Linked DNA regions of Mus musculus. Each later gene encodes a partner of the first gene's protein in a complex. Links are inferred from orthologs where the notes say so. Each region holds a gene or a part of one and is shown in the gene's direction. Other genes may lie near its edges. The genes, in order: Snrpg, Sf3b5, Dhx16, Usp39, Scnm1, Strap and Prpf3.

Region 1 (4,013 bases):
TACATATTATAACTAAATTGTAAAAGGTGCATACTGTAATTTCAGTACTGTAAGGCAAGCTGAGGATTTCCCTCCTGCTTTGAGGTCAGTCTTTGCTAAAGACTATCATTATTCATGTTCGTTTTCTAGTTTCAACTAGCACAGCAAGTGGTGGGGAGAGTGTATAGCTAAGCATTCTTGTGCTATTTTTTTGTTGATGACAAACTAATCATGAGGAGAACCTCAATTGAAGAGCTGCTTCCATCTAACAGGTCTCTGGACATGTCTGTGGGTCATTAATGACTACCATGAGAGAGCCCAGTGCACTGAGGGCAGTGCCACCACCCTGGGAGAGTGCACACCTTTATTCCCAGCCCTCAGGAGGCAGGGGCAAGCTCAATACCTCAGGACTTGTGTGGTACTCCTCAGCTTTTATGTATGGACTGTAGTGTGCTAAGTGGGTTCTGAAGGCAGCGTTAGAATTGCAGAATTGATGAATCAGAAATACCCCAGACACTGGATTCACGTCCTCAAGAGAATCCGCCTAGCCACCTTCCTGCTACTGATGCGGACAAGCTATTCTGTGCTTCAGGAGCCCTCGGCTTCGCCTGGATGTGCTTAGGAAATTAAGGGCAGCGTGGTGCAGATGCCGTTGATTCTAGCACGGGAAGCAACAGTTCAAAGCCAGCGTTGACTACACAGTGAACTCGAAGCCAGCATGAATTACGTCAAAAACAATGAGGAAGGGGCAGGGGAAATGACAAAAATGTAAAGAGAAAAAAAGTGTAGTAAGTGGGAAAAGGAAAGAAAAGAAGTGACACACAGGCTGGAGAGACGCTTCAGCAGTTAAAACCACTGGCTGTTCTCCCAGAGCTCTGGAGTTCAATTCCAGCACCCACATGGTGGCTCACAAGCATCTATAGTAGGATCTGAGGTCCTCCCCTGGCGCGCAGGTGTACATGTAGAGCACTCATACATAAAATATAAATGAAGGGGTCTGTTTTTAAAGTGACCTGCCACTTCAATTTTACACAAAGGAAGCTTAGCCGAACACAGCCTCTCCGTCGTGGCCTGTCACTGGCGACGCAACCGGAAGCGTGGCTCTGGTCCGCAGGTTCAGACATCCCCATCAATATCGCGAGATGAAAGGTAATGTTCTCCGAAGGCGATTGGCTCGCGCGGCGGTGACGTCAGACACCAGCGCCAAGCCTGCCTTGCGCGCGTTTCTGAGCCTGCTCACTCCTTCGCCGTTGTGCCGAGCCCGCAGAGGAGTCGCCATGAGCAAAGCCCACCCTCCCGAGCTGAAGAAGTGAGTAGAGTCGGCCCTATCGAGACTTCTGTCTCGCTCGGGCTGCCGCCGCTGGTCCCGACGGTCGCGGGAGCCGGAAGTGGCGCTAAGGTCCGGTCGGCATGGTTACTGCAGTGCCGGTGCCTCTGTCTTCCCAAAGCTGGGGCTCTCCTAGGCGGGCAGCCAAAGGCAACCTGGTTGGGGACCAGGGCAGCGGTCGAGGTGCATGGTTGTGAGGAACCGGAGACTCGTGGGCTTAAAATGATCGATTGGAGTCGGACGTGATTGGCTGTGATCTATGGGGCCAATATTCAGGAAGCTTAGGCAGGAGAATTACCGCGAGTTCCAGACCAGCCTAGGCTTAAAAAAAAAAAAGACACTGTGTCTCAAAAAGTTTAAGGTGAGGTAGCGTTTTGTGTTTCAATAAATGTGCGCGTTCATTTGCGTTCATCAAGAGAGCTAGGTTTAGTTTTGGGGTTTTTTTTTCCCCTTTTTGGTGCTCAGAGACATGTTTAGTTATATGTTTGTGCACGTGGGTGCAGCTCCTGCGGAGGCCAAAGCGGGCATTGGATCTGCAGAAACAGAACTTGTAGGAGGTTGTGAGCCCTCTGGCGTGGTTAATAATAGCTGGACTCGTGTCCTCTGGACAAGCAATAAGCGCTGGGCCATCTGCAGCCCCAAGAACTAGGTTTCTGATACACTGTCCTTGTATTCAAGTTACATTTAAACGTTGTGTAATATCTTGCTCTGGCAATAAATCCATGGAAGGACATCCATTTTCTACTTGTAAAGAGCTAATTTCTGAAGAATTTTATTCTGTACCCAGTAAAATCAGACAGACCCTTTGGTCTCAGACACTTCTGACTGGCCTGAACCTGTCGCATATGCACATAGTCATTGGGTTGCTCAATACAAGATTAATACTGGGTCTTTTCTGGTGTAGCCAGAAAATAATCTGTCTTGTGTATAGCCTGTTTGCTACTGTAAAGTTCTGTCAAGACCCCAATGCAGGGGAAAGATAACAACATTTGCTGATTTTTGTATTTGAGTGCACATTTTAATCAAAGCCCTCTGTGTGAAACCCCTGCAGTTTTGTTTGAATCTGAATCTGTTAAACCGGGCCTAGAGAGTTGGCTCAGAGGTTGAGAGCACTGACTTCTCTTCCTAGAGGTCCTGAGTTCAATTCCCAGCAACCACATGGTGACTCACAACCATCTGTAATAGGATCTGGTACCCTATTCTGGCTTGCAGGCCTATAGGCAGAACACAACATAATAAAGATGTATTAAGCCATAAGTCTGACATTTTAAAAAGAAGTTATTCTGCACTGTTTGTTTTGATGATGAGCTAATAAATGAGGTCTGGATTTAGCAGGAATTGGCAAAATGGCATTGGTTTTGAACAAAAGCACTGTTCCCTACCTGTAATCTTCAGTGTCCTCTGATTCTTAACAGATATACTTGGGCCTTTCAGAGACTGGAACTAGTGATTGTGTCCATATTTTTATTGGCGTGTTTGGAGCAGAGCCTGTGTGAGCTACTTTGTCACTGAACTTCTCTTCTCTGAGTTGATGCCTTTTTCTCATCCCTACATTTTATCAAATTTGAAATACTTTTAGATCCGCCTCCTTATTTTCTCATAAACACCTCCTTTTACAGCTATTCACTCCTAGTTTAGCATAACTCCATAGTTCTTAATCATTTCTGGTCCCGTGTCTCAGTAGTTTCAAAGTTGAGCTCCTCCCAACTCCTAAAATGTGTTGCCACAGAAAGTCTTAACCACTGATGAATTCTGCTATACTAGTTTATATCACCACAAAGTCAAGTCCAGACTTCCTAACCCAGCTTTGAAGCCCCACCCCATCTGCAGTCCAGCAGCCATATTTTGCATGGTATATGACTAAAAACAATTTTCTGCACATTAGTGTCTCAGTTACTGACCTCTTGCTGTATAGAGGCATCGTGACCAAGACAACTCTTATAATAAAGAAAGCATTTGATGGGGACTTGCGTACAGTTTTAGAGGCCATGATCATCATGGAAGAACAGGCAGGCAGTAGTTGAGAGCGTTACATGCTGAACCGCAGCAGCAGGCAGGGCAGAGAGACACTAGGCTGGCTTTTGAAACCTCAAAGCCCACTCACTCCCAGTGCCACCTCCTCCAACAAGGCCACACCTCCTAATCCTCCCAAACACTTAATCAGCTGCGAACTAAACATGCACATAAGTGACTCCATGGAGGCCATTCTCATTCAACCTCCACACTGAATGTCAGTTCTCCATCTGTATAACATGGTAATAATAGTACCGGAATCGTAAGTGTTAAATATGTTCCTCTGTTGATTTACAAAATAACTCCTAGTAATTTATAAATGTTATTTATAAATCTATTTCCACCTTCAGATTCTTATGGCTTAAATTTATATTTAAATTCTATCATGGTCTATACATTAAAACTCAGTGAAGCAGCCGAGCAGTGGTGGTGCACGCCTTTAGTCCCAGCACTTGGGAGGCAGAGTCAGGTGGATTTCTGAGTTTGAGGCCAGCCTGGTCTACAGAGTGAGTTCCAGGACAGCCAGGGCTATACAGAGAAATCCTGTCTCAAAAAAAAAACCAAAACAAACAAAACAAAACAAAAAACAATTCAATGAAGCTCAGCCTGGTGGCATAGGCATGTAATGTCTGCTACTTGAGAAGCTGAGGCAAAGAACTACAAAACCAGGGTAGCTAAGAAACACTGTCTTAAA
Region 2 (2,442 bases), on another chromosome or scaffold:
GTCTAAGTCTTGGTGTTGGTTGGTTTTATTTTTTTTTGAGACAGAGTTTCTCCTTGTAGCCCTGGCTGTCCTGAAACTAGCTCTGTAGACCAGGCTGCCCCTGAACTCAGAGATCTGCCTGCCTCTGCCTCCCAAGTGGTGGAATTAAAGGTGTGTGCCACCACCACCTGGCATGATGCTTATTATGACAAAATTTAAACAGAAGAATTAATATTGGATGGAGCGGAACTCACCTCTAATCCCAGCATTCAGGAGGCAAAGGCAGGAGGATTGCTGTGAGCTCAGGGCCAGATCCTCCCCCCACCAAGTAAACAAAAGTACCCCCAAACTCCTGTATTTTCAAATTGTCTGTCATTGTCCATTCTCTTTGGCTGTGACTGCTCTTACCCCATTCCTAAAATGGTTTTTTGAGAGTACAATCTACATCAGGCTATACATGTATCCTTAAGGGATACCATAAAAGAAGTACAATTATCTTTTCTGAGTTGTTTGTAACGTGAGAAAGTGCACAACCCCCAACGTAAGGCAGTAATCAGCAGAAAAACACAGGTGACTAGAAAGAGAGGTGTTCTTTCTATCTATCTATCTATCTATCTATCTATCTATCTATCTATCTATCTATCTATCTATCTATCTATCTATCTATCTATCTAGTCTTGAACCACATCTGACTTCAAGGAATAGCTTTTGAGTGACCTAGAGCAAACAACCCCTCAATGGGTTGAGAAACGGGAGCCTGGAGCTCGTTGTGGGAGCCATTAGTGAGACTACTGGGGCTGACACTGATCACCAAAAATACTTTTCCCAGTGCCCAAATTCTAAGAGACAAAGCTGGGACCGCGGGGGAACCATGCTGCCACGTTAGCTTCTAGGTACAAGAGTTAATTTTCCTGGTTGCTTGTAGTTGAAACCCTCTTGGATTTCCCCTTCTTAGTAGCCCAGAGCCGTGGGATAACTCTCAGAGGCCGTTTGCCATCGTCCTACAGCAGCCAGGCAAAAACAAAACAAACAAAACAAAACCCTAAAACAAACTCTTTGGACTACTTGTTCCAGAATGCAACGCTCAGACTAGAACGTGATCACCCGAGAGCCACTAAGCGGACCATCATGCAACACTCTTCGAAGTAGGCGGGCTCCGTGAGGAGACGGCCCAGTGTTTCCTAGGCAACTCCAATCCCGCGACAGACGGCACTTCCGCTTCCGCCTAGGAAAAGACTGTCTACTCCTGCGTCTCGGTGGCGTCTTTCTCCCGCGCCTGCACGAACTGAGGTTTTGCGTGGCGGCGGCGGCACCGGCAGCGGCAGCGTCTCTCACTTGAACGCCGCGAGCGGCAGCTTCTCGTCTGTGTCCTGACCTCGGAGCCTACGAGCAGAGCGGCGCGATGACGGACCGGTACACCATCCACAGCCAGCTGGAGCATCTGCAGTCCAAGTACATCGGCACGGGCCACGCCGACACCACCAAGTGGGAATGGCTGGTGAACCAGCACCGCGACTCCTACTGCTCCTACATGGGCCACTTCGACCTCCTCAACTACTTCGCCATTGCCGAGAACGAGAGCAAAGCCCGCGTGCGGTTCAACCTGATGGAGAAAATGCTGCAGCCCAGCGGGCCGCCCGCGGACAAGCCCGAGGAGAACTGAGGTGAGCGCTGCCCAGTCTTCCCCGTGTGCCGGCTGCGAGCCTCCTTGCTCCTGCATCTCGACCATTCCGTGTTGGCTGTGTCGCCTGACCTGCGTACCTGTGGAGGATTCGGAACAAGTCATGGAGAGACTGTCCGGGTCCGCTCCTTGTGAACTGTGCAGAAGGAGTGATCCCAGCATCGGCAAGCGAGGGAGAAGACTGCACGAGAGTGATGCGCATTTCGAGTCTGCTTTTCGATAGTTGATGTCTTCTTGCCTTTTTAAAAAACCATATATATATAAAGTTTAGGGTTTGCTCTATTCTTTGGTATGGATTGCTGTGTTCTTTGGGAGGTTATTAGGAGAGGGTTCTGTGGATCAAGGTTTTGTGAGAGTATAAATAGGAAATGGGGGCAGAAGCACAGGGCAAGTCCTTAAGTCGTCACACACACTTTTATGATATTATCCCACCTCAATAGTCTTCACGCGTACAGTGTGTCTGGTCCCAAAGAAACCTTGAAGCGCGGAGATTGCCCATATCCCTTTCCTACCCTTCCCTTTATGCGCTACCCCTTACCCCTTTTTCTTGATGATTACCCTTTGTGTCTTCAGAAATGATAAACTGGCAAACAAGTGGTATCACGTCCCCATCCTGCTCAGCGCCCCATTCCCCCCACCCCTCTTCCCTTTTCACCAGAGCATTTTCCAAAGGTTTGAGGGCATACATTATGCCAGCTTGAAGAGTTTACAACTTTAAAAACCATGCTTACAATGCTACTTTACTGAGATGTCATTTGAGAACAGATTTTAAGGAATCAAGA
Region 3 (3,500 bases), on another chromosome or scaffold:
ACACACAACCAAGGCATGTGCTGTACCCTTTGTCCCAAGTTGTTTGCCTGGCTATTTGGACACAGCTGAGGAGCAACCAGGCCCTGGCCTGCCAGCTGGAGAGAGATGAAATAAATATTAGCTGAGAGATGCAAGCTTTAAGTTCAGTGTATGCCAGGACATACTTAATATTGGACCGTTGAGAAAAATGGCTAGGGAAGTCCTAGAGGAAAGCTGAGGTGTGTTTGAAGTCCGAGAGGAGTGAGTTTAGGAGTTTCGGATGCTGCAGACAAAGCTGAGTCAGCCAAAGGCCAGGACAGAGCTGTTGTAGCGTTCAGACTTTAGACAGGCAAATGGCAACCAAAAGATTTTAGAGATAAGACTCTCACTGAACAACTATATATTGAGGGTCTGGAGCTGGGGCTTGAGTGGTCAGGCCCTTACCCAGCATGGGGAGGCCCAGTACACGCTGCACGGGGAGAGGGCCGAGGGAGGATCCATCATGTGCACGGTAGGACTTACAGTCTGATGGGAGGAGGCTGGGCGTGTAAAGCTGCCTCCGTGTGTATTGAGTACACTGAAGAGATTCGGGCAGCACGGGAAGTCTGAGGAGAGGAGGAGCAGACTTTTTCTAGTGGTGGGAGGCTGCCCCATAAACGGCAGGGTAGAGTAGAGGAAGGAGGAGGGAGGACTGCTCCTGCAGAGCATCTCACAGAAGGATGAGCACTTGGAGGGAGGGCTGGGATGAGCACAGGGTGTGAGCTGTGATCAGACATGCAGCTAGGGGTGAGGTAGTCCAGGGTCTAAACGGCATAGACGGAGTTCTGTGGTTGGACCTGGGTGTGAATTGATAGGTTTACATGTTTTAAAGGGAGCACTCTGCATGCTATGTGACAGAAGCAGGAAGGGGAGCGAGGAGGCTGCTGTCAGAAGTGACGAATGAGGACAGATAGATGCGGACATGCAGTCCTGAATTCAGTGTTGTTTCTTTATTGTGCCCCTGCTGACTGCCAGCCCTGCCTGCCTGTCACCTCATCTCCTGACGTGGACACTGCCTCCCTGTGCCCTACTCTCCCTATATCGTGCTTTCTCAGGCTGTCCAGGTGGGCTGGGTCCCCGGGTGACGCTATCCTCTCACTTAGGTGGTTGTGGCAACAAACATTGCAGAAACTTCCCTCACCATCGAAGGCATCATCTATGTGCTGGACCCAGGGTTCTGCAAGCAGAAGAGCTACAACCCTCGTACGGGAATGGAGTCACTCACGGTCACCCCCTGCAGCAAGGTCAGCCCAGAGGGGGACACATACCGCCCCCCCCCCCCCCCCCGGCCCCCGGAGAAAGCTTGCTTCCCAAGTAGCGCTTGAGGATGGGGATTATCACTTACCATACTTCTGAGTTAACACTGACCAGGCGTGTGTGTGTGTGTGTGTGCGTGTGTGCGTGCGTGTGTGTGTGTGTGTGTGTGTGTGTGTGTGTGTGCGTGTGTGTGTGTGTGTGTGTGCGCGCGTGTGTGTGTGTGTGTGTGTGTGTGTGTGTGTGTGTGCGCGTGTGTGTGTGTGGCCTCTCCTTTCTTTCTAGGCTTCAGCCAATCAGCGGGCTGGCCGTGCAGGTCGAGTGGCTGCCGGGAAGTGCTTCCGCCTGTATACGGCCTGGGCCTATCAGCATGAGCTAGAGGAGACCACAGTTCCTGAGATCCAGAGGACAAGCCTGGGCAACGTTGTGCTGCTGCTAAAGAGCTTAGGTGATCGGGCTGCCCAAGTCCTTGATCGGGCACTGGAATGCCGGGGACCTGTGCCGCACTCTCTCATTCTTTATTCCTTTCCCCAGGGATCCATGACCTGATGCACTTTGACTTCCTGGACCCTCCTCCATACGAGACCCTGCTGCTGGCTTTGGAGCAGCTTTATGCCCTTGGCGCCCTCAACCACCTTGGAGAACTCACCACGGTGAGCCAGCGGCAGCACAGGCTGGGACAGTATGTAGGAGACATCTGATGGCCCCAGGGACCCCTGGGGGAGGGGGTGTGTGTGCCAAGGCCTCCTGTACTGGTGGAAGGAACCTGAGAGAAACCGGCCTCACCTTTCCCTCTTCTTTTTAGTCTGGTCGAAAGATGGCAGAGCTGCCTGTGGATCCCATGTTGTCTAAAATGATCTTGGCCTCCGAGAAGTAAGTCCTCCCACCCAGCCAGTTCCTGGCACAAACTGGCCATGCTTCCTCAGTCTCAAGTATCCTCTCTCTCTCCTTGACTCTTTATCATGCTGTTACTGTTTTTGTTTGTTTGGTTTTAATAAAAATTGTTTAAGAAGTCTTACCATCCCTTATGAGGCCCATGTGAATCACTGTCCTGTACCTTACAGTGATTGTTGGTGGGCACAATGGATAGTGCAGCTACAACCCAGAGACAAGCAGTCATGGCAGAGGCAGAGAGGCAGAGAGAGAGGCACAGAGGCAGAGGCAGGCAGATCCCTGAGGTCTAGGCCAGCCAGGGCTACATAGTAAGACCCTGCCTCAGAAAACAAACCAATTAATAAAGTAAAACCCAGGAGCATGGGTGGAAGCAGAAGCCCTTGTGTGTGTGATGGGTGCTGGGAAGGCTGCAGCTTCTAAAACTTGATTCTTAGGTCTGTATGGGACTGCCTTTAAACAACATCCGGGATGGGCGATGGCTCAGTGGTTAAAAACACTAGTTGCTCTTGCAGTGGATCCAAGTTCAATTCCCAACAGCCACATGGTGGCTCACAACCATCTGTTACTCCAGTTCTCACTTCCTTGGGCGTGTGGCACATAGACATACACGCAGGCAAAACTTTTATACACACACAGTAAGTCTTAGAAAAGAAGAAGATGTTCCCCTGCTGTGTTTGGGATCAGGATCTGTGTCTGCTCTCAGTTGGTTTTTGCGGTTTCTCTTTGGCTTTATCCTCTTCCTACCCCGCTCAAGGTATAGCTGTTCAGAAGAGATCCTGACCGTGGCTGCTATGCTGTCTGTCAACAATTCCATCTTCTACCGGCCCAAGGATAAGGTTGTCCATGCCGACAATGCCCGTGTCAACTTCTTCCTCCCTGGTGGAGACCACCTGGTTCTGCTAAATGTGTACACACAGGTCACTGGGCAAGTGGAAATTTGGGAAGTCTGGGGGATTTGAGTCCTGCTGTGTACTTAAGGCACTTCATCTTCACAGTGGGCTGAGAGTGGCTACTCTTCCCAATGGTGCTATGAAAACTTTGTACAGTTCAGATCCATGCGCCGAGCCCGGGATGTGCGGGAACAACTGGAGGGGCTCTTGGAGCGTGTGGAAGTTGGCTTGACTTCTTGCCAAGGTGACTACGTTCGTGTGAGAAAGGTCAGTGTTTTTGATGTTGTTATTTTCTTTTTTCTCCTATTTGCTCTTCTTTTTTTTTTTTCAAGTCAGGGTTTGTCTGTGCAGCCCTGGTTGTCCTGGAACTCACTCTGAAGGCCAAACTGACCTTAAACTCAGAGATCCACCTGCCTCTGCTTCCCATGTTTTGGGTTTAAAGGT
Region 4 (4,199 bases), about 14 Mb from region 1:
GTCTGTATTCTCTACCTGTTCCTTTGAGATAGGGCCTCTCACTTAACCTGTAATTCAGCTGACAGCCACCAAGCCCTAGTGGTCCTCCTGTCTCCATTTCCCACATGGCTAGGACTATAGGCATGAGCCCACTGTCAGCTTTTTCCACGGGTGCTGGAGTTTTGGACTCATGCTTGGACAGTAAGCTTTCTCACCAATTGAGCCAATCTCCTCCGTTTGTTTGCTTATTAGTGGACATACTAAAAACATCTGTCTCTGATAGGCAATGAGGCAGACAAGTGCTCACGTAGGTAAGTTTTCCCCACCCATACCCAGTCCCTATTTCAGCCACATTGGAGCTGCACTGCTGGTGTCCAGACCACTTGCTTAACTGACCATGAGAGGAACCAAGGCTTTTGAGGGTCTAATAGTGCATAGCCTTCTCTTGTTTCTTTCCTTCTGGCATGTAGCCTAGGATAGTCTTGAATTAACTATGTAGCTCAGTTGGCCTTAAACTTTGGGATTTGTTTTGCCTGATCCTGAGAGTATAGCTTTCCAAGTTTTCAGTTTAAAATGTAAACATCAGAAACTTATTAGAGCAGTGACAGAATCAAGTGCATCTGCTTGATGGAATTGTTATATTGAAAGTAAAGGAACAGACTGCCTTACCCTAGACGTGAATGAGACCTGGTCAGAAAGAGGAAACACCGACTCATACTTGAACATAAAATTCTAGGAAATGTAGTCACTATTGTGGTTTGGGTGGGATTCCACGTGGGCACAGGACATTTCTGGGGTGAGACAAGTTTCTTCTCTTGAATCTGTAAGTGTTCATACATCGCAATTTAGCAAATTAGACACATCAAACGTGTACTATCTTGTATATCAATTATACTTCGATGGAACTGTTCAAATAGGCAGGGACTAAGGCATGACTCAGTGGTAAGGCTGAATTTGAAGTTTTATTAGCTAAACAATAAATGCGCCTTAGCAGAGTATTTGCAAACTCATTTCAAGAGCCCTTTAAATATGATACTAATTGAAGTTCCCAGGTACAAGCCTGAATGAAGGAGTTAATTTGGGAATACTGACTCCTTTTCCTGTGTAGGTCATCAGTCCCTGATCAGGGGACATCTCTGGATCGTCGTTTCGAGACACAAATTGTCCTGAAGCTATCTCGGGTGGAGTGCTAGCTTCCTTTTCCCTAAAATGAAAGTAGCCTGTGAAAGGTTCCTATTTAAGCCGTGAAGAGATGTTGGACAAGGACACAATATGTTCGAAACTATCTCGGTTGGGCCAGCAGCGCTTATAACGTTTTATAAGCCTGTATTGTCCCTCACAGCGACTCGTAGCGCGCTGCGTTTCTATGAGGCCATCTCGACTTCTGATTGGCTGCTTGCTGCCCGTGCTCGGCGCCGGCGCGGAAGCTCCTAACTGGTGGTGGCGATGTCTAGCCGGTCCAAGCGGCAGTCCCATGGTTCCACCCGCGGGAAGCGTGAGTCCGAGTCTCGTGGCAGCTCGGGTCGCATCAAGAAGGAGCGAGACCGTGAGAAGGAGCCCGAGGCGGCGAGCTCCCGGGGTAGCCCGGTCCGCGTGAAGCGGGAGGCCGAGCCGGCTGCGCGAGAGGTCCCGGCGCCCGCGCTCCCGGTCGTGCGGGTGAAGCGTGAGCGCGAGGCCGATGAAGACTCGGAGCCCGAGCGGGAGGTGCGAGGTGCGCGGGGCCGGGCCGGGCGCGTCCTCTTCCTTCGCCTGCTTTCTTCTTTCTCCTCCTATATTTTTAAAGACGGGTCTCAGGAACTTGAAGTTGTAACCAGAGATGGCCTTAGACTCTTGCTTCCCCTTCTTGAAGTCTGAGATGCCCAGTTTTTGTCTGCTTTTTACTTTTCCTTTCTTCTGCCTCCCTGACCAGGCTTGAATCCAGCAGGCTGGATTGCCTGTCATAATACATCACAGCATCTCCCTATTCACGTATAGCCTACGTGGGTCAGGTGCTCTACTGACGACTGTACAGATGGACCCTTCTCCGTTCCCCCCCACCCCCCACAAATTCCTAAGAGTCAGAGTCATGTTGTAATTTTTGGAATAAGACCATTAGTTGAGTCCCAGTGCACTCAACTCAAGTATTGACTTTGTACTAGTTGAATAGTTTGGAGACACTAATGCTTCTCCTGGGTTTTGCATGGGGGTTGTTCCATGTTGTCTTGTAAAGGATGCTGATGTAATGACCAGCCTTGGGAGACAGATAGTATTATTCCATAGAGCAATAGGTAGGGAGTAAGGTCACAAGAAGATATAATCTTCTTTAAGGGCAGGGATCTTCTGTAAGGCAACCCACTATGAGCACTGGTTCTTTTTCTATTCTATTATGGGACTTAACTCTAGGATCTGGCAAAGATGTCATATAATAGGGTACTGTTATTGCTGTAGTAGACTCTTTGTTTTAGTCTGTGATCATGTGGCTTCTGTCAGCATCCATGAAGCTGTGTCAAGCTAACACATTAGGGTTAACTTTAGTTAGAGTTAACACATTAGGATTAACTCTCAGAACCAATACAGTTCTTGTACTAATAGTAGATTTAAGGATATTCAGCTTATCTTAGTACTTGTGATATATTTCATGATACTTTTCCTGCCCATTTGATATTTATTTATTTATTTATTTGCTTATTTAGGCAGGCTCTTACTAAGTAGCCCTGGCTGTCTTGGAACTTTGTCGGTAGGCCTCAAACTCAGAGATTTCACCTAGCCTACTCACTCAAGGGCTAGGATTAATGTACACCACCAATGCCTGGCATTTATTTATGTGTATGCATGTACCATGGTGTATGTGTGGAAGTCAGTGGGCAACTTGTGGGAGTCCGTTTTCTCTCCTAGCCTGTGTGTCACAGGGATTGAACTCAGATAGTTGGGTTGCTGGTAAGCACCTTTACTAAGCCATCTCACTTGCCTGGATTCCTTTATGTAATATATAAATTAATCTTTCATTGGTTATATATGTAATAGACCTACTCTTAGTTTGCAACTTATTTCATTAGTGGCCTTTTTTTGAATGTTGTCACTAAAGGAAATGGAAAAGCTCATCTTTTTGAGATGTGTGTGTGTGTGGTCCCTGGCTGTCCTAGAACCTAACCTAACTGATCAAACTCTCCCAATCTTAGTGATCAAATGTTCCCATTTCGGTGATTTTGTTTTGTTTTGTGTTTGCTTGTTTTGTGCCTGTGATTTGAGGAGAGCCTCCAGTCCTCCATTTATGATGCTGGAGCAGATCTTGGCTGTGCTAGTTAAGTGTTCTACCACTGAGCAGATCTTGCCTGTGCTAGTTAAGTGTTCTACCACTGAGCAGATCTTGGCTGTGCTAGTTAAGTGTTCTACCACTGAGCAGATCTTGGCTGTGCTAGTTAAGTGTTCTACCACTGAGCAGATCTTGGCTGTGCTAGTTAAGTGTTCTACCACTGAGCAGATCTTGCCTGTGCTAGTTAAGTGTTCTACCACTGAGCAGATCTTGCCTGTGCTAGTTAAGTGTTCTACCACTGAGCAGATCTTGCCTGTGCTAGTTAAGTGTTCTACCACTGAGTTACTTTCCAGCACAAGTTTCCCATTTAACAGCCTGTATGGATTTCTTCTCAGCAAAGAATGGCCGAGTGGATTCTGAAGACCGGAGGAGTCGTCACTGCCCGTACTTGGATACCATTAATAGGTCAGTAATATAGAAAGGCTGAGGGCAAGACTTGGTGATGTATCTCAGTAGTAGAGCAGTTGCCTGGCATGTCATAAGCCCAAGGTTTAATCACCAATACTATGCAAACAAACAAAATCAGTGGATTTTTAAAAATTTACTTTTATTTTATGTATGTTGGTATTTTGCCTGCATTTATGTCTGTGTGAGAGTGTCAGATCCCCTGGAGCTGCATGGATGTCTGTGGGAGTACCGCATCCCCTGGAACTGGAGTTACGGATAGTTGTGAACTCTCACGTGGGTGCTAGGAATTGAACAACTGGAAGAGCAGCCAGTGCTCTTAACTGCTAAGCCATCTCTCCAGCCCCATCAGAAGATTTTGAGATGCAGAATACAGTAGAAAATTCTCTAAACAGAGCATTGAAGCATTCTAACTCTCCTCCTTTTATGCCTGTCTGCCTAGAAAATTGTGCTTCTCACCATGCTCAGCCATGTTGTCCCTTTATAGTGGCAGAGTGCGCTTTTTGTTTTGTTTTGTTTTTTG
Region 5 (4,258 bases), on another chromosome or scaffold:
TCTGCACAAAGAAAACAGAGCCTTGGGGTGGAAATAAGAACTACAAATGGGCACCTTCAGAGTGCTAGTAAAAGTCAGCTCTTCCTTACCAGTCTCTACATCCCCACCCCCACCCCTACCCCACCCCCGCATGGCTAATAGTACCGGCTTTAGAGTCAGACAGAAACCTTACTCTGACACTTAAGTGATTCGACCTTGATCAAACTGGTTTATCAGTCTTAAGTTGATAGGGACACAAGTCCAGTTAATGGCTGTAAGCCCCGCCCCCACTCACCCACCTCCCTCACCATCTACAGGAGTTGCTCCTCCCACTGGGATAGTTGGGCAGATCTGTCCCAACAGTGCTCTGCTGAGATGTGAAAGCAAAATAAGGAAGAAAAAAAACAGACCATAATAGAATTTAAATAATGTGAGAGGGGGCATCTTAGCGGGCCACCCACTTTCTCGGGACTATCTCAATTCTGGAAGACTCACCGTTACCCCGTATTTGAGTGCTAATCCAGCCAGGGTGTCTCCAGGCTCCAATTGATGCTCCAGGCGTCTTTCCCTCACTGGGGAGCAGGATGATTGTACCAGGCTTCCATAAGAACGAGCACGGCTCCCATGCAGCAGCCCTGACCCCCCGAGGGGAGGCTGTCTAGAGGGAGAAGCCATCTCCTCACTGTCAAGACCTAGGGTCACAACTGAGGGAAGCCCAGCTAAGTAACAGTGACGGCCGAACCCAAGGAATGGATATTCAGATAATTCGTTTTCTCTTCTCTCGTCTCTCTACAGTCTCCCGACTCTCGAGAGACTACATTCGTCGTCCTCCTCTTGCTGCTTCTTGCCGTGCCTGGAGTTACTGTCCGTCTCTTAAGAAGTCTGCCAGGCCGGTTACATTTCTCTTTCCACGAGCTCCTTACCCATAAGTATCTTCCCTGAGCTGTCAGTCGCTGACCCGGTTGACTTTCGACGCCCCCTCCCCAACTCCTCGCAAGCCTGATCTCTGACCTTTGAACCCTAGACACCCTCATCAACACTCTTCCCTCAGTGTATCCCCACATCCAACAGTCGGGATGCCGGGTGCTCCCACATCCTCTCTGTTCCAAATAAGGCCCACCCCAGGTAGGTTGTGGCTGAGGAGTACGAGCCTGAGGACAGCAAGAGTTTGTAGTATATAGTCCACTGAGATCCCTGACGCCTCGCTCCACATCAGGAAGGTCCCACCCTGAAATTCCGGCTCCACATACAGGATCTTGAGTCTCCGAACACCTGGATCCTTCGAGATGTGAGGTCCTGTGTCCAGGTGAGCAGTGTGCTCTTCAAAAAAATAAAAAAATAAAATAAATAACCAAAAGACTTCATTTCCCAAAAGGCACAGCGTCTCAAAGTATTGTAGGAAATGCAGGCCCCCTCAGGGCGCTGGAGGCGGGTCTTCCGGTTCGCGCGACGCAAGCGTGGAACATCATCCCCGGAAGTACAGATTCAACAAGAAAGAAACCGGAAGCAGAGAAGGCGATAGTGTACTCTTTCTACGGTGGCCTAAAGGAGCAGCGAAGTAGGCGTAGGGGAATTTATCGTAGTCTCACAGTCGCTATGTCTTTTAAGAGGGAAGGGGACGACTGGAGTCAACTCAATGTGCTCAAAGTAAGCCTTAGTGAGAGTCTGATCACCTTCAGCCGCCCTGTTGTTTTGTTTTGTTGCTCTGGCGACATCTAGGGGAGGGCTTAGGGGACCAGAACTGAGTGGTGACCCCTACTACCCTATGATCTGCATAGCCCCGTGTGCCATTTGACTCCTTATCCATACTATTTCATTTCCATCCGTCCCTCTTACTCATTTCTCCTATCCTGCTCCCTGCAGAAACGGAGAGTTGGGGACCTGCTGGCTAGTTACATCCCTGAGGACGAGGCACTGATGCTGCGGGATGGACGGTGAGAGCGAAGAGTGGATCAAGCCTGGGGATTCGGGGATCAAAGGCTCAACAAACTTTTGTCACTAAGGAGTTCAGGAGTATAATAGGACTCTTTGGCTGGAAGTGAAGTGTAAGGGGTGGAGATCGGGAAACCTGGGAGTTGGTGGTGGAGTACTCTGACAGAAGTAGGACCTACTCACCATAGCAAGAACACCCCGACTGCAGGCTCTCGAACACACAACATACACACCACACACCACACACATCATTCACTTCTCGTTTCCCTAGCTTTGCTTGTGCCATCTGCCCCCATCGACCAGTACTAGACACGCTGGCCATGTTGACAGCCCACCGTGCAGGCAAGAAGCATTTGTCCAGTAAGTATCAGAGAAGTGGGGAGGGCGGGAGATGGAGAGCAAGCCACCAGGCATTGTGCTTTTCATTCCTCCTTGCTTTTGTTCTCAGGTCTGAAGCTTTTCTATGGCAAAAAGCAAACAGGCAAGGGAACAGAGCAAAATCCAAGACAGCAGAACGAATTGAAGACAGAAAGCAAAACTGAGGTGAGAGGGCATCAGGTGTGGTTTAGACAGGGCTATACTTCACACAACAGGCTTGAGGGAACGTTTGCTCCTAACAGCTCTAACTCTGTCTCTTCATCACCAGGCTCCTTTGCTAACCCAGACTCGAATCATCACCCAGAATGCTCTACACAGAGCTCCCCACTATAACAGTTGCTGCCGGAGGAAGCACAGGTCCGTGGAATGGGAAAGCCAGGAGTGGAAAAGGGTAGAAGGAAATAGATGACTTTAAAGTTATTGCTCTCCAGATTGTATTCTGAGAAATAATAATCTTGTGGAAATATTTTTTTTAAATGATGGTAGGGGCTGGACAGATGGCTCAGCAGTTAAGAGCACTGACTGCTCTTCCAGAGGTCCTGAGTTCAATTCCCAGCAACCACATGATGGTTCACAACCATCCATAATGAGATCTGGCGCCCTCTTCTGGGGTGTCTGAAGACAGCTACAGTGTACTCATATATATAAAAGAAATCGTAAACCATCATTTTTTCAGGTTTTTTGTTTTTTGGGTTTTTTGTTTGTTTGTTTTTTGAGACAGGGTTTCTCTGTGTAGCCCTGGCTGTCCTGGAACTCACTCTGTAGACCAGGCTAGCCTCAGAAATCTGCTTACCTCTGCCTCCCAAGTGCTGGGATTAAAGGCGTGCACCACCACTGCCCGGTGGTTTATGATTTTAAAATAAATTTTTTAGCAAGTGGAAAATTGTAGAATAATCATACTTATTAGGAACATTAGGGCTTGGTGAGATGCCTCAGTGGTTAGGAACGCAGGGGGCTCTTCCAGAAGTCCTGAGTTCAATTCTTAGCAACCACATGGTGGCTCACAACCATCCAAAAGGGATCTCTTCTGGCATGTAGGTACACATGCAGACAGAGCACTCCTATATTTTAAAAAGTGCAATAAATAAATACATTCAAAAAGAGAGAATTGTAACATTAGTAGAGCACGGTGGTGTACTTTTTGTTTGTTTGTAGCCCTGGCTGTCCTGAAACCCTGCTATTTAGACCAAGGTGACCTCATATTCACAAAGATCTGCCTGCTTCTATCCCTCAAGTGTTGGGATTAAAGGTGAGCACTCCATGCCTGGCCTTGGAAAATCTTAAGACAAAAACTTAGAACCAGCCGGGCAGTGGTGGCGACGCCTTTAATCCCAGCACTTGGGAGGCAGAGGTAAGCAGACTTCTGAGTTTGAGGCCAGCCTGGTCTACAGAGTGAGCTCCAGGACAGCCAGGACTACACAGAGAAACCCTGTCTCGAAAAACCAAACCAAACCAACCAACCAACCAAACAAACAAACAAAAAACTCTTAGAACTATGTATTAGAGCATAAGGAATATGGAAAGTTACAAAACTTATGGAATATCTGTCTATATTGAGGTAATTTATTGTAATGACTTACAGTTTGTAGTCATGTTGTTGGGTTACAACAATGGGCAGCTGTGAATGAGAAGTCTAAGAATCTAATAGTTGCTCAGTCCCACAAGGCTGGTTGTTTCAGCTGGTCTTGTATAAATAGGTTCTAAAGATGTGCTTGGCAAGTAAGTGCAAGCAGTGGAAGAAGAGTGAGTCTTCCTTCTTCCAGTGGTCTTATGTAGGCCTCCAGCAGAAGGTGTGGCCTACATTAAGGCGTGTACACCACACCTGGATCTGGGACTTGCTTTGTCCCAGGCTGACTTTGAATCAGAGTTCTCCTTGCCTCCTGGGATTAAAGGCATGTTATACCTTGCCTGGACCTAAGCTTTTCACAGCCACTGTGCCTCAAGATCTCCATGCCAAGATCCAGATCAG
Region 6 (3,500 bases), about 51 Mb from region 1:
TGATCTTCCCAGCAGAATAGACAGTGTCTTTTGTAGTACATCAGTGTCTACCCCAGTAGCTTTACATTTATTAAGTCTGATATCCCTGTTCTTCACTGTTTTCAGAATCCTACAAAGGTCACTTTGGTCCCATTCACTGTGTGAGATTCAGTCCTGATGGGGAACTCTATGCCAGCGGTTCTGAAGATGGGACATTGAGATTGTGGCAAACTGTGGTAGGAAAGACCTATGGCCTGTGGAAATGCGTGCTTCCTGGTAAGGATGTCTCTTCAAAGTTATCAAATTATAATGCATACATTTTGTATCATTTATTCTGTTTCACTGTGTTTGTCTCCTTTAGATTTTGAATTATGTAATATGGTATAAGCAGAATGAAGTCATGATTCTAACTGAGCAGTGTCCTTTATGTGATGAATTGAATGACCTGAATTCAACATTTATTACAAAGTAGCTAGGGAGATGGCCCGGTGGTTTCAAGAGCATCCATACAAAAAGAAATAAAGCTTGGTAGAAGGCAGTATGAAGAATTTAAAAGTTATCCATCTAATTGTTTATAGTATTACTTGATCCTTACCACTGAAAACATGTTTTTGGTTTAAAAAACCAACAAACAAAACAAAAATCCCAAATACTTATTATTGATCCCAGAGTGGCTGTTGTACTAAAGGTGACTTTGAGATGTCTTTTAGAATCACAGTGACTGTTAAGAGGACGTGTGCTGTGTGTGTTGGTGGGAACCTGCCCTCCTTCATGGTCAGTCACCACTGCTTGTCTCTTCACAGAGGAAGACAGCGGGGAACTGGCAAAGCCAAAGATCGGATTTCCAGAAACAGCAGAGGAAGAGCTGGGTAAATAAAAATTAATTAACTTTTCTAAGAGCCCTGGGTATGTAAAAATTCAGTGTATGAACGTTTTGGTCCATGGCAAAAGAAATTTAATAAATGTACACAGTCGAAATACGTTATAGGAAGCTTAAGCGCGAGTGCGTAAGCATTAGCTCTGGAGTCCAGGCCTCGTGCACGTGGACATGACTGATGGGTCTCCTCGCATACACTCAGGGACAGGGTCTAAAAGCTCCCTAGACAGTTTCTAACCATGACGTGAGGTCGAGAGCCCTTCCTGCACAACGGACATTTATGTGGGAGTAGACTCAGGATGGCAGGCTGGCTGCTGAGGTTCTGAGGATGCGCTGTGGGTGATGGGCAGGAGGGCTTAGCAGAAAGCAGAAGAGAAGCAAGGGAACCAGCATGGAGAATGCCACTGTCCAGCCTCAAGAGTAAGGGCAAAGTGAGAGGAGAGAGGCTAGACCAGCCAGTATCTGGTTTGCTCTGTTACAGCCTTAAGCGTTTCATAAACTAGGAGAACGAAACCTTTGATCTAAGTGGAGGACTAGATGTACATTTAGGAAAGTGCCTTGGTGTGTAGTGTGGAGAAAGAATTAGACTAGGGACAGTAGATTCTAGGTTAGTAGCTATGGGACAGACACCGAGAACAGAAGGAAGGTGGGCTTGTCTTTGCATAATGGTGAGATTGGTAGATTGGTCATTGCTTGTTTGTAGCTTGGCGGTAAGATGGGAAGAGGCGATCACCCCTGCTTTTGATACTATTAGAGCCTGCCTCCCGGGAAGCAGTGTTTAATGGTTAAGGTTTTGAACTGCATGGCCTTATACTAGTATTTGATTACTACAGGACCCAAAAAAGCGTGATTTAATGAAATGCTGATTGGGTAGTTGGAGTCAGTGAAAGCTTATCCTGAAGGGAGAGGGGTGGGGTTAAACAATTGGTGAAATGGCTTGAGCTCTGCTTGGGTGTTTGGAGTCCTGGGATAAGGCCATGTTTAGTAGCTGTCTGTTCTCTCCTCCTCACCTCAGCATATTTGAAAAGACCTTGTCATTTCTTCCTTGTACAGAAATGTAGATTTTCTTCTTCTCTTTATTAAATTGACTATGATTTTATCTTTTAAATGCAGAAGAAATTGCTTCAGAGAATTCAGATTCCATCTATTCATCAACTCCTGAAGTTAAGGCCTGAGCATCAGACGTGTGCTGCCGAAACCATATGTTCATGGACTAAACAAGCAGAGACAAGCATCCGCCTTCAGAGTTACTGTCTGCCTGAGGCAAAGAGGGCAGAAAATATTGGGGCATATGAGTTAGCTCCAGTGCACGAACAGCTACTCAGTGTTGCCCGTGAGTGAAAATGGCTGAGTGTCTGAGGTGCAGGCAGGAGGATTGTGCTCACATAGTGCCATAGCCTGCTGTTTGGAATGAAAAGCCAACTTACAATCTCCATTTTACACCTAAATTTCTTTTAGCTGTTTATGTTATGAAGAAGAAAAATATATTGGCCTATTTTTCTGACTTTCCCTTAAAGAAGAATGCCTTTTTGTCCTTGCCTAGTGATGAAGAGGAGGAAATACATGATAAAGTAACCGGTTTGATCTCTTTCATTGTACAAGGACTGCTTCAGAACAGCTCATATTTTTAGTTATCTAAATAAAATGCCTCTAAAATAATAATTTTTCTCTTTTTTTGGAAATTCTGATACATTTGAATACTAAAACTAACTATTCAAAGTTTTCTATATCATACACAGCCAGCCAGAGCAAAGACAGTTTGGTTATAGAGTCTGAACTAAACATTTCCTAAATTTGAAATTGAATTATTTAAACTTGAAATTTTCATATCTTTTGTTGTGTGTTCATTTATTTCCTTCTGGATGGATACAATTGCTTCTCTTGTCTCTTTAAACATGCATGTTAGTTACTAAAACAGAAAAACACTTAGGAAGAGCAAGTAAACAAGTTGAAATCTCAGTTCTGAAAATATTCTGAAAAACTGCTGTACGTAGTCTAACATCTGCTCGGTTGTACAAATAACCACATGATTTAATGAAACTGGGTTAATCATTAATTTTCAGTATTTATGATATACCAAACTTTCTCATATTTAAACTTGGGTCATTCAAAAAGTCAACCTTTAATAAATTGGATAATAAATTTGTAGTTTATTTACTTATTTTACAATGTGAAGAGATTAAGTTAGTAATTTGGAAATACAGATGAACAGCTTGTATTAATTTGCTTTCTGGTAATTTATCTTCTGAGTGGCCTTTAGTACTTTGATCAGAAAAGTCTCGACTAGTTTGTGACTAGAAGTTGGCGGCACTACAGGCGGTTCCTGGGAGAGCCAGGGAAGCCCGTCACAGGCATTGATGAGCCTCAGGCAGTGGTGTTCCCCTGTCCATGTTTAACATGCTTGGTTTTCTGCTCTGTAGCAGTATTGTTCATGTATCAAGATTAGACTGAGAGTCTGACCCTAAATAAAATTGAGTGCATCTTTTGTAATGGAAGTCGCTTGGATTCCTGAAGTTGATAAATTAAGGGCATTTCTTATTTTGTGCCATTGCTTTCCTATTGCTGCAGCACGTTTGTAGCCTGAACCAGCATGCTTGGTAACAGATCGCAGTGTCCTGAGGCTGAAACAAGGCTCACTTGAGCA
Region 7 (3,500 bases), on another chromosome or scaffold:
ATTTCACAGGGGGTGCACATATCTGTGTATAGGTAGGTGTCCACATTGACAGCTGTCTCTGTTTCTTTTTTGAGACAGTGTTTCTCTACCTAGTCTCAGCTATCCTGGAACTCACTAAGTAGACCAGGCTGGCCTCAAACCTAGAGATCCACTGCCTCTGCCTCCCTGGTTCTCGGATTAAAGGTGCGGCCCATTATGCCCTCCTTGCACCTACATTCTCATTATCTTCCCAGTCCTTAGGACAAAATCACTGTGGCCTTCAAGTATACCTTATTCTTTTGTGGTAACTACTTCATTTCTCTAGAAAGCAGTAATTTTTTTCTTTATTACCTTGTCTTTATCCTGAGGATCTGTAGTAATAGGCCTTTCATCCACACTTCAGAATATATTTGTACCCAGGAAATACATTTTTACTTTTTTATTAATGTCTTCATTTTAGTCTAGGTTAAGTTTATATATGCATTCCACTTTTTAGATACACTTATTTCTACTAAATAGTTCTTTATCAGAAGTGGCACATTATAATAAAACTTCTGTTTATTCAGATTAAAATTTTTGGACCAGATAGGATGATGCATGCCTGTAATTCCAGCACACAGGAGGAACAGGACAGTTCTGAGTTTATGGCTAACCTGAACCACGTAGCAAGTTTTTGGCTATCCCAAACTGGAAAACAAGACAAATTCTAATAATAATAGAGGAGCACTTCCTGAAAGAGTCCCCTTCCTATTCTCTGATCTATTAAGATACTATCTATAGGTAACTACTATTTACAGTTTTTGATGTCTCCAGAAATTTTTTTGAATACATGGCATCTATACTATAGGCATCTAGAGGTGGCAGGATTTAAAGCTTTTTCTACCTTCTGGAACACTGGGCTTGCAAGCTTTTTTGGATGATAGTACCTCTCCTTCATTCATAGATTCTAACTACTTACTGTGAAGAAGTATAAGACCAGCAAAGGGAGGCAGAGGCAGTCAAATCTCTCGAGTTCAAGGCCAGATTGGTCTATGCAGTGAGTTCCAGGCCAGCCAGACTACATGATGAGACCCTGTATTTACAAGAGAATAAAAATATAACTGCATTCCAGAGGTCTTGATTTTAGATCCTCTGTATTTGCCATTCCATTCAGGCAGCTTCTAGTGATAAAACTGAAGACATGACTAAAGTTTCCCTCCTCCAGAGTTCGAAATTTGAGCAACCCAGCCAAGAAGTTCAAGATTGAGGCCAATGCTGGGCAGCTGTACCTGACAGGGGTGGTGGTGCTGCACAAAGATGTCAACGTGGTGGTAGTGGAAGGGGGTGAGTGCAGAGAGTTGAGGGAAACTCTCTAGACAACCCTAGCCCTAAAGCGATTGGCAGTGGGGAGAAGGGAGGAAGATTTCTGTGAGACCGCTGTTGTGTTTCCGATTCTGTGTGTCTGCAGAAGAAGTCTGTCCTGGTCCTGGGGCTCGTTCCCCTTCCCATTGCTATCTGAGTAGTAGATGGGCTCAGCTCAGAGGTTCTTCCTACTCTGTCATCTTTCCAACTCGCAAAATTCTCTTTTCAGGCCCCAAAGCCCAGAAGAAATTTAAGCGTCTCATGCTACATCGGATAAAGTGGGATGAGCAGACATCTAACACGAAGGGAGATGGTGAATTGGGGTTAGAAGGGATTACATGGGAGAGCTGGGGGAGGTGGAGTGATAGTTCTGTCTATTCTTCATCCATTCTTCCTGGAATAGTCTTGTGTTCAAGAAGTTTAGACAGAATGTTTTGTTTTGTGTGAGACAGGGTCTCACTGTATGGTACTGGCTGGCCTTGAATTCATAAGATCCACCTACCTATACTTTTTAAGGGCTGAGATTAAAGATGTGTGCCCCCTGCCCAGCTAGGTTGACTTAAACAGTACTGCTGCATACACCCAGCAGGCTTTTCTCTTTGACTTAGTTTCAAGTTCTGGTTGCAAGAGTGTATTTAAAGTCAGCAAACTATGCATTCGTGTGTACAATATCTAACCTGTATTATTCTTTACTTAAATTTCTTATTAGCTACGTCACGGTAGTTCACACCTGTAATCTCCTAAGAGTTTGAGGTCATCTTGAGCTATGGAGCAATTTTAAAGCAGCCTAGGCCACATGAGTCTCAAAAAAAGTTGGTATTTCTTTCTAATCACTCCAGACTAGTAGTATCCACCCATGACCCCAGCACTCAGAAAGTGGAAGTAAAAAGATCATGGGTTTGAAACCAACACATGCCAATGTAAAGCAGATATGGACTACATACAGTCTCTGACTTCCCCACCCCAACCCAATTCAAAAGACCATTGAATGTATAAAAAATAGATTTTCACATCAACAACAACTTTCTACTTTAAACAGGAAAGAATACTTTGGGTTTTGTTTTGAGACAAGGGTAGCCCTGGCTGGTCTGAAACTATATAGACCTAGCTGGCTTCACACTCAACAGGAAAGATAACTTTGGAGCTAGCATTAAAGTTTAGTAGTTTAGCACTTGTCTACCATGTTCAAGATCCTGCACACTGAGAGCCAGACAAGGTGTGGGGCACAGGTAAAGAAAGAAAAGATATATTTAGTGGGGCATGGTTGCTGAAGCTTGTAATCCCAGCTCTCAGTAGGCTGAGTCAGGAGGATGGTCTCAGTAAATAAATTTAATCCAGCACTTGGGAGGCAGACCCTGCTAAGTTGGAGGCCAGCCTGGTCTATGTAGCGAGAATCTGACTCAAAAAACAAACCAAATATTGAGCTTTTTTTGTCTTTTCCAGATGATGAGGAATCTGATGAAGAAGCTGTGAAGAAAACTAACAAATGTGTACTAGTATGGGAGGTTAGTGTCTCTGTAAAACGCTGCAGTTCAGTTGGCCGGATGTTTAGCGTGGTTTTTAGAAGTTGGTCTTTAGCGTGTGCCGGTGGGGAAGCATATGGAGAACAGTGGCAGTAGGAGTACACGTTCTCAGCAGGAAGGTAGTGCCCAGGCCTCAGACGCACAGTAACGCACGCACTAGACGGAAGAGTCCGGGCTTGCCGGGGAGCCAGTGATGAGTGCTTATCTAATGCTTTAGAGTCCGAGTTCCATCCTTGGCTTTACAGCAGAACAGGACCTGAGCCAGACGGTGTCAGGTTTCATTGCCTTATCTATAAAATATGGCTGTTATTTGATCTACCTGGCGTGTTGGTTGTAGTGAGAGTAAATTAGAGCAGGCCCAAATTCAACTCCCTTACTCAGTTGGCAGGGCTTTCCTCCTGTAACTCCAGGTCCAGGGGACATGACCTCGTGGCTTTGACAGGTGCCTGCACTCACATGAACACATTCTTTATTTAAATTTTAAAAGATTTATTTTTGTGTATGAGTGCTTTGCTTGCATATATATGTATATCTACATCACATACATGCCTCATGGAAGCCAGAAGAGGGTGTCAGATCTCTCAGAACTGGTACAGATAGTTGTGAGTCACTATGTGGGTGCTTAGAACCAAACCGGGGTCCTCTCTAAGAGCAGTA

What was found.
Region 2: Snrpg (region 1) and Sf3b5 share a complex: the UniProt entries of both Homo sapiens proteins name them as parts of the minor spliceosome. The link is inferred for Mus musculus from reciprocal best matches to the Homo sapiens genes SNRPG and SF3B5.
Region 3: Snrpg (region 1) and Dhx16 share a complex: the UniProt entries of both Homo sapiens proteins name them as parts of the minor spliceosome. The link is inferred for Mus musculus from reciprocal best matches to the Homo sapiens genes SNRPG and DHX16.
Region 4: Snrpg (region 1) and Usp39 share a complex: the UniProt entries of both Homo sapiens proteins name them as parts of the U4/U6-U5 tri-snRNP complex. The link is inferred for Mus musculus from reciprocal best matches to the Homo sapiens genes SNRPG and USP39.
Region 5: Snrpg (region 1) and Scnm1 share a complex: the UniProt entries of both Homo sapiens proteins name them as parts of the minor spliceosome. The link is inferred for Mus musculus from reciprocal best matches to the Homo sapiens genes SNRPG and SCNM1.
Region 6: Snrpg (region 1) and Strap share a complex: the UniProt entries of both Homo sapiens proteins name them as parts of the SMN-Sm complex. The link is inferred for Mus musculus from reciprocal best matches to the Homo sapiens genes SNRPG and STRAP.
Region 7: Snrpg (region 1) and Prpf3 share a complex: the UniProt entries of both Homo sapiens proteins name them as parts of the U4/U6-U5 tri-snRNP complex. The link is inferred for Mus musculus from reciprocal best matches to the Homo sapiens genes SNRPG and PRPF3.

The regions. Positions count from the first base shown.
Region 1 is NC_000072.6:86,370,327-86,374,339, forward strand, and holds the start of Snrpg (small nuclear ribonucleoprotein G), read left to right. Parts: upstream 1-1,213; 5' UTR 1,214-1,256; coding exon 1,257-1,288; intron 1,289-4,013. UniProt on the Homo sapiens protein: Plays a role in pre-mRNA splicing as a core component of the spliceosomal U1, U2, U4 and U5 small nuclear ribonucleoproteins (snRNPs), the building blocks of the spliceosome.
Region 2 is NC_000076.6:13,007,242-13,009,683, forward strand, and holds Sf3b5 (splicing factor 3B subunit 5), read left to right. Parts: upstream 1-1,208; 5' UTR 1,209-1,381; coding exon 1,382-1,642; 3' UTR 1,643-1,942; downstream 1,943-2,442. UniProt on the Homo sapiens protein: Component of the 17S U2 SnRNP complex of the spliceosome, a large ribonucleoprotein complex that removes introns from transcribed pre-mRNAs.
Region 3 is NC_000083.6:35,886,278-35,889,777, forward strand, and holds part of Dhx16 (pre-mRNA-splicing factor ATP-dependent RNA helicase DHX16), read left to right. Parts: intron 1-1,121; coding exon 1,122-1,262; intron 1,263-1,557; coding exon 1,558-1,720; intron 1,721-1,806; coding exon 1,807-1,925; exon of another isoform or gene 1,926-1,954; intron 1,955-2,077; coding exon 2,078-2,145; intron 2,146-2,920; coding exon 2,921-3,083; intron 3,084-3,161; coding exon 3,162-3,323; intron 3,324-3,500. UniProt on the Homo sapiens protein: Required for pre-mRNA splicing as a component of the spliceosome. Contributes to pre-mRNA splicing after spliceosome formation and prior to the first transesterification reaction.
Region 4 is NC_000072.6:72,342,376-72,346,574, reverse strand, and holds the start of Usp39 (U4/U6.U5 tri-snRNP-associated protein 2), read left to right. Parts: upstream 1-1,399; 5' UTR 1,400-1,425; coding exon 1,426-1,690; intron 1,691-3,606; coding exon 3,607-3,676; intron 3,677-4,199.
Region 5 is NC_000069.6:95,131,213-95,135,470, reverse strand, and holds the start of Scnm1 (sodium channel modifier 1), read left to right. Parts: upstream 1-1,458; 5' UTR 1,459-1,575; coding exon 1,576-1,626; intron 1,627-1,842; coding exon 1,843-1,913; intron 1,914-2,182; coding exon 2,183-2,271; intron 2,272-2,359; coding exon 2,360-2,454; intron 2,455-2,557; coding exon 2,558-2,646; intron 2,647-3,444; coding exon of another isoform or gene 3,445-3,484; exon of another isoform or gene 3,485-3,665; intron 3,666-4,258. Other genes in the region: Lysmd1 (lysM and putative peptidoglycan-binding domain-containing protein 1), read right to left, coding at 475-654. UniProt on the Homo sapiens protein: As a component of the minor spliceosome, involved in the splicing of U12-type introns in pre-mRNAs. Plays a role in the regulation of primary cilia length and Hedgehog signaling.
Region 6 is NC_000072.6:137,748,582-137,752,081, forward strand, and holds the end of Strap (serine-threonine kinase receptor-associated protein), read left to right. Parts: intron 1-105; coding exon 106-255; intron 256-782; coding exon 783-848; intron 849-1,969; coding exon 1,970-2,031; 3' UTR 2,032-3,349; downstream 3,350-3,500. UniProt on the Homo sapiens protein: The SMN complex catalyzes the assembly of small nuclear ribonucleoproteins (snRNPs), the building blocks of the spliceosome, and thereby plays an important role in the splicing of cellular pre-mRNAs.
Region 7 is NC_000069.6:95,831,886-95,835,385, reverse strand, and holds part of Prpf3 (U4/U6 small nuclear ribonucleoprotein Prp3), read left to right. Parts: coding exon 1-32; intron 33-1,183; coding exon 1,184-1,302; intron 1,303-1,549; coding exon 1,550-1,633; intron 1,634-2,763; coding exon 2,764-2,825; intron 2,826-3,500. UniProt on the Homo sapiens protein: Plays a role in pre-mRNA splicing as component of the U4/U6-U5 tri-snRNP complex that is involved in spliceosome assembly, and as component of the precatalytic spliceosome (spliceosome B complex).